2 linked regions of the Schizosaccharomyces pombe genome follow. Changing the gene in region 2 together with the main gene of any one other region gives a genetic interaction. Each region holds a gene or a part of one and is shown on either strand. Other genes may lie near its edges.

Region 1 (3,751 bases), on a different chromosome or scaffold from region 2:
AACGAAATGAAAGTTTTATTTTTCCACTTTTCTTGTGTTATAACTCCTTTATATATATTTCGTAAGAAAACCTTACAATTCAAATTGTACAATGTTCCTGAATTTTCAAGAAAAATAGTACCAAAGTAGTGTATGTAAAGTCAATAAGAAATACTATTCTTTCGACCAAATATTAATGGAATGTAAACGTTGCAATACACTCTAAATATCGTTTGGAAACGAAACAAAATGTGTGAAGACAGTAGATGTTTTTGTACCCGCTGGGACGGACCATATACCATGGCATGATGTAATGCTAGAAACTTCGAGTATAAGCGAGAAACTGATGTGGTTTAACGAAGTTTCTTAAATGCACAATGTAAAGTGGTAGAGTTCATTATTGTGTTTAACGACGCTATAATGGGTTAACTGTTTATTGAAAGACGTATTGTATGTATTTGTACAAAATATAAATTGATTGCGATATTTTTATATTACAATTCTACAAAGCGGCAGTTACTTTGAGATAGTACTTTGTTATTAATCTTCAGAATTTTTTTCAGCAATTTCGAATATGGGTATATCATTGTAAGTATACTGTAGTCTGGTTATTGCTTTTGGGATGTGTGTGTAAGTTACTATAGTTGCCATAAAATAAATGTCTATTGCAATTTCGGTACTGTGGTAAAGCATGCAGCCTTATAATTTTGTACTGCTCAAAAAGACTACGCGATATACATATAGTATAAACCCTTCAACATTGCCGAGGTCCATGCCGAAAGCGGCATATAAAAGGCCAAATTTTTTTAAATTTTTGACAGTCAATAAAAATAATCAGAACTAGAGGAAAGAGATTCAGAAAGGCAAAGCTTCTGAAACACTGAATTATTTGCAATTGTCCAAAATATAGTCAATTGTGATGGGAAAAAACAAGAAAACAACGTTACCGTTGTATGATTTTCAATCATTCATCGAGTAGTATAGCATAACTATTCTATGGAATACAAGTCCATTCCAAACATTTTGTTCAGAAATCTCTAGATAGAGGGTGGAATGTCAGTAGCGGTAGTATGTGCAAAAGAAGAGGCTGTGGGCGCAGGAGCGGCATTTTGACGAGAAACGCTTTTGCAAATACGGATCACATGAGGAGTGATATAGGGACGGATCAAGTGTCTGTAGATAATGGTAGCACCGTTGAATTTAGGCAAAGCAAGCCAAATCAAGAAAATAGCCTTGAGTAACCAATACACAGCTAAAAAGGAAAATCCCCAGTTAGTAAATAAAAAAAATAAATTTAAAAGCAGAGAGCAAAATTTATTAGATCCTTAATGATCTTATAATCACGCCTCTAAATACAAAAAATTTAAACACTTACGGACATAGTAAAGGATTAGCTGAGACCAGTACTCAATAACGTTGAGGAATGAAGTTACCAAATAATAGGTCAACCATTGAGTGTCATCGGCCTTGTTAGTAGTTTCAATAGCATTGATACTAAAGAAGGCAGGCATCGCGAATGCCAGAAGGTTGGTCAGTAAAAATCCACCCCAGTTCAAGAAAAGGAACAAGGCATATATACCAGCTGCAGTAAGAAAAACATAAAGCTTGCTAACACCAAAATTTTTTTCCAAACTGTTGAGTTGAGGAAAGGCTGCCAACTGGAAAAAAAAGTTAGTAAACAAATTTGAATAGAAAGAATAATTTCTAAAATCACAAGATACTAATAATAGCCTATATTGCCGAGTGCGTAAAGCGGCTTCCATCGGATATCCTGCCTTATTGCTAACATACCCTGTTATCCAAATCTTGCATATTCTGCTTAACACGAACTTGAAAAGACATTTTGGTACTGCTTAATTAAATTATCTGAGTGTTCAATAATTTTTCTTTTGAACGAACTATTTGTCTTAGAATATGGGAGTTGTTTGCTAAAGATAAGTTTGCATTTATTCTATCGGTGGTAGTGAACAACGTCACGATTACAGGCATTCGCTTCGTACCGTCAGTGTGGTATATTAATTAGTGCATAGGAAAGTCGCAGTAAATACGATACTGTATAGTACAAATACAATCCGATTTTCAAAAGAATTGCCGTATGTATTTTCAGCCGATCAAACAGTCATCTTGTGTTTCTGTCTAAGTTTATTTACTTCATTACCAAAGCATTTAACAGTAAAAAAACCATAGCAAAAATGAGCGATTTACTTCCACAGTATGCTACGTTGTATTGTTTTAACCAAACCATGAACAACTGGACTATGCAGTTCGCTAAAGTCAAGCCCTGCAAAATATGTACGGTTGCATTATCTAAAGTTAAGGAGGACAACCGAACTTTACGGTTCTCTGATTTAAAGAATGTCTACATTACATACAAGTCTGCATAGATATATATCACTACCAACATTACTCTTTCAATTGTAATTAAATTACTACTAAATGTAAACAAGTTTTGACTTAATAAAGTAAATTTTTAATTTCTTATTAAATTTATAGTATCGGTAATTATCAAAAACTCGTGGATCGAATAAAAAAACCATCTCAAGAATAGGATGGTGTCTAACTGTTAAAAACGGCTTCTTTTATCTATTTCAAAATTAGTAAAGAATTTTCAAACTTAAGACCAAAAAGTTTTAAGCAAATGAAGAATTTCATCAGTGTAACTATGACAAAATGCTTTATCACTGCAAGAAGGCAACCAAAACGATTACCCCGTTATCCTTGCTATACAATTTGGGTATATATTTCGCATCCTCTGAAATCTCCATTTGTGAAATGATGAAACTTACCTATTTACTATTTAGATGAGCACACTCCAGGTGAAAGAACTATGCAAAAGCAGAAAGCACAGTGCCCTTTATATTCTTCTTAATGTGACTGTTTTTTTGGGGTTTTCAAGAGAAGATATCATAAAATAGCATACATAGCTGTTAATCAAGGATAAGAAGAAGTAATGTTCATCGAAAATAATTGATAGATTAGTTTATTGATATTGTTAATCATTTGAGTAATTTCTGATGTTTTCGTTATAAGGATATGGTTGCTTCTTTGACTCAGTAGGATTGTTATCTGGTTTTTAAAATCGTTACTTGAGAAAATCCCCTAATTTAAGGAATTTTTATATGTTTGTTGGGATTATAGCTGTCTTTGGCTACTGTTAACTGTTGTAATGACAATAGTTTTGGTTTATCTTTCTTACTTTAGACCTTGTAGAAGCACCGGTAAATGTCAAGCAAACTTTTCAAACTGTAAAGTGTATACAGTCTTTAACGACATAGAATTATAGCATCCGTCAACAGCTAAATAAATTATTCGTTTGTCTGTAAAAAATAAAATTGATAACGATTGCTGGAAATTTAGAATCATTGGGATATATTAAGGATGTACCTTCCCACGAAGAAAACACATTCATGAGATGTTTACTGAGACCTGCAATGATTTTTTTCATTCCAATACGTAAATGTTTATTTTTTTATGGGCAAAAGTATGCATTCGTAGATACAACTCTTTTTGGCCGTTGTCAAGCTTAACAGATGATACAATGAAAATAGTAAACAAGGTATTCCCAAAACAGACGATATCTCATTTTCCAAGAGAAAAGTATTAACTTAATAGCTCCAAGTTCATCAAATTTTTTTTTGGCGATTGAATAGTTGTATAGTTTAAAGAGTTTACTCATACTTGGCAATGGAAATGCAGCATACTTGTTATTTAGATCTTCCCAGATCCTCAATTTCAAAATCTAAACAGCTATGGGTAAACATATGCCTCCTCT
Region 2 (3,758 bases):
GCTTAAACGTAAAAAGCTGGCACAACATTGATATAAGTGAATGACTTGTGGTGAGAGCAGACAACGATCATGCGAGTGTAATCAGCACTTTACTGTATGATCGGCTGTATTAAATACGAAGTAGTGGAAAAAAAATAATAATTTTTGGTTAACAAATACTTTAGTCATTTGGTTAAACAAAATAGATTTTTTCGTCCACAGACCCATTTTAGTTATGGAAAATATATATATATATTTTTTTTTTCGAAAAGAGCAGCAATAAGGAATACGAGGAGGACCTACAAAACAACACGGAGTAATTACGAGATTAAATTACGAATAATAAGTACGTTGGGTATTAAACGAAGCAGAGAAAATATAATAAAATAGCATCATATTGAGCAAAGCAACAAGAACTTCAACCACACTGCAATAGTTTGCAACTCAGAAGAGAAATGAGAGATTGAGCCGAACCTGTTACATTTACAATATATCGAGATGAGAAAGACGTATTTATGAAAATAAACACTCATAGTCATAAGCAAAATAATTGAGAAAACGCATTCAATCTCCTAATTCAAGTCATAATACAACACTTTTGAAACGCAACACAACACAGCAACACATTTTCAAAGTTGAAAACAAAACCATGGTTATTACCCTTGCATTTTTTTGCAAAAGATACTATTGAAACCTTAAAATAAACGAGGAAGCGAACCAAATAAAAATCAAGCGCAACCTGACAGAAACAATCAAACAAATTATCCCGCAGAGGTTTACTTGTTAACAGTGGTGTTTATAGTCTCAGTAGCTTGCTTTTTAAGTTTATCACCAGATCTCTCAAGGGAAGCAACCAAATGCTTGATAGAGCGCTCATTGCATACATACAATCTGGGAAGGATGAAGGCAAACAAAACATTCCAAACAAAGAGAGACTTGTAGGAAAGGAAGCCACTAAGGAAAAACTCAATAAAAGCAGCAACAGAGGCAGTAAAGGTCAAAATAGGGCTCTCAGCAAACAAGATACGTTGGAATTGAATCAACATAACGTTGAAAATGTCGACAATTGAGTTGACAATCCTATCAAGAGCCTTGGAGTCGCAGGTGATGTAGGAGGAACGGAAGTGAGACAAGACACCACGCTTACCGTTGGAAGCGAAAAGACCACCGAATTCAATGATGGAGGTAATCAAAAAGACATAACGGAAAGTTCTGAAAAAGAGGCGAGGAAGATTGATCCAAGAAGGGACATAAACGAGAGCAAGAATACTCATCAAGGTAGAGAAACTGCAAGAGGTGTTCTTCCAAGTCAACACAGACCACAAAGCATTAGAGATCTCAGGATCGACGTTTTGCTTAGTAGTGTTGGTAAAAGGGCAACCGGCCTCCAAAGCAGGGCATTTTTTGTCGGCACCTCCGTGAGCGCCGGAAACTGGGCAGACGGGACTGCTTGTCTCGCCAGGTGTGGATTGAGAGGTGTGGTGGGGCTCGGAAGAGGAAGAAGAGATGTTTTGAATAACGGGATTCTCAGAGTTGGGGAGAGCAGAGGGAAATGAAGTGGCAGAGGGCAATTCGGTGGAAGGGTGAACGGTGTGAGCAGTCAAAGTATTTACAAGGTCCTCAGCACCGGATTTAGCAGCGGCGACATCGGAAGCAGTGACGGAACCGGATTCAAAGGGGTTTAATGAATGTTGTTCAGACATGATTTGCGTGTTATATTCAATTTTAAAATAACAACTTAAGGTAAAACAGTTACTAAGAATCAAAAGAAGCCTTAAAAAAAAAGAGAAACCTTTTAAACTAAAAAAGGGTGCAAGTGTTTTTTTTTTAAGATATAGTAAAAAATAGAGAAAATTTAAAGAAAACTAATTCTGAAAAGTGCCGACTAAAGAAAATAGCTAGTAAAGGACGACTTTTCGGAAGAGCGAAATACTTTGTAACAAAGACTTAAAAAAGTGAATAAAAGATTTTTGGATTTTGCTGTAGGATAAATAAAATGTATATGTATTAAATCCAAAGCCAAGTTCCAAAAGGGTTAACTTTTAAGGGAGATATTGATCGAAAGAAAAAATAAAAGTAGAATGGGTAAATACAAAAAGAGACCTTCACGAGTTGTTGAGAGGAAAGTCAATATGTTTCACTTACGAAACTGTTAGAAAGTTGTTAGTTGGAAAGCTTTGCTTTTATATGGTAAAAGTCAAGTCGGTGGTTGGTGGTTAGATAGCAGTCATAGCGTTGATCATGGAATGACGTTGTTCTTGGCTCAATAAGTCTGTGTCAGCGGCGACTATAGCGATCATGCTTATAATCGGTTTACAGCAGGCTAATGAAAGAGAATTTTGGATGGTAAAAGAAAAACGAAGAATAGGAAGAAGATGGGCGGGAAAAGATGGGTTAAATGGTATGAAAAGATGGGTGAAATGGTATGAAAAAGAAGGAAATGAATAGAGAAACAATGAAAATGGATGAAAAACGAAAGAACGAGCGAAAACGGATGACTTTTGCAAAAGCTAGAGATATTGAAAAAAGAGTAAATAAAGGGAAAACAATGATTAAGTGCAGGAAAGGCTACAAGAGGCGAAAAAAAAGTGAGAAATAGATAAATAAATTCGTGTAGGATAGTTTGTTGAAAGGAGAGCGAAGTATGGAGTTTGATTGTAAAATGTAAAGGAGAAAGGGATAAGAGTGATGAAAAGGAAAAGGATACAACTGAATAAAGAAAGGATTAAAGATTGAAAAAGGAAAGGAATAGTAACGGTGAGAAATGATGAATCATCCACAAGTGAGTAAAACACGAAGAAATTTGTTGTTTAAAAAATTATTTAATATTTGAGGAATTGAAATCAATTAAAACTTTGAAGAAACAAAATTCATTCAAACTTCTGAAGCCTTTTTTTTTTTTTTTTTTTTTTTTGGAAATTTTTTTGACAAAAAATTTATTTCTTAAGAATCAAAGCAAATGTATTTCAAAAAAAAATATATATATATATATGATGAAATAAATAAGACCATACCTTTTCTACATTTAGTAATTGATTTATTTCAGTTTACGTTAATTAATTTAATGTAATTTTATTTCGAATTTTTTATTTTTTTTATTTTTTCACGAATTGAATTGAATTGAATAGATTTTCTTTTTATAATTTAATTTTTTTTGTACAAATCAGTTTGTATTGAAATTCTTCATCATCTCATTATGCGTTGTGTGTCTGTTTATTTACACCCACTTAAAAATTGCAAGCATACCGTATGATGAACAAGAAGGCTTTTCTTGCCTTTTCGTGAAAAGGGAGGGAGAAAGAGAAAACGTATTTAATAAATTGGACATCTCATCGTATGCTAGTATATGAAATTATGAATTGAAATGAAATGTATGGAATTGCATTGCGCTGGACTGAATTGCATAGAAGTGGACTGCATTGCATAGAAGTGAATTACATTGTACTGAAAGAATTGTGTTGTATCGTATTCAAAGTAATGATGTATCATCCTTTCCTCTTTCCTCTCTACTCTACTCTACTGAAACGGTCGGGTTCTTCTCTCCTTTAGCAAATCCTTTACTGCACTCTGCTGTACGGTCTTGTTCCACAGTATGATGTTTAATGAATTGTTGGACAAATCTCGTTACCATCACCAGCATGAGCTGGTCGCGACTGCCGCTTATCGGATGGGATGAGATGGGAGTATGGCATCGGTACATGTATAAGGCAAGGGAGTGCAGTACGAAAAAGAAGGATTACGAAGGAGGAAAAAGGGGAAACGAAAAGAGCAAAAAGTAA

What was found.
Region 1: of rtn1 (region 2) and yop1, changing one enhances a phenotype caused by changing the other (phenotypic enhancement), as found in Schizosaccharomyces pombe (one study listed by BioGRID).

What each region holds. Positions count from the first base shown.
Region 1 is NC_003421.2:2,195,292-2,199,042, forward strand, and holds yop1 (ER membrane protein DP1/Yop1), read right to left. Parts: upstream 1,910-3,751; 5' UTR 1,822-1,909; coding exon 1,771-1,821; intron 1,638-1,770; coding exon 1,355-1,637; intron 1,232-1,354; coding exon 1,017-1,231; 3' UTR 502-1,016; downstream 1-501. UniProt on the Schizosaccharomyces pombe protein: Required to generate and maintain the structure of the tubular endoplasmic reticulum network and the vacuole. Induces high curvature in membranes and causes membrane tubule formation. Involved in membrane/vesicle trafficking.
Region 2 is NC_003423.3:1,261,923-1,265,680, forward strand, and holds rtn1 (reticulon Rtn1), read right to left. Parts: upstream 1,683-3,758; coding exon 756-1,682; 3' UTR 376-755; downstream 1-375. UniProt on the Schizosaccharomyces pombe protein: Required for the correct positioning of the cellular division plane by delimiting the actomyosin ring assembly at the cell equator. Overexpression causes cell lysis.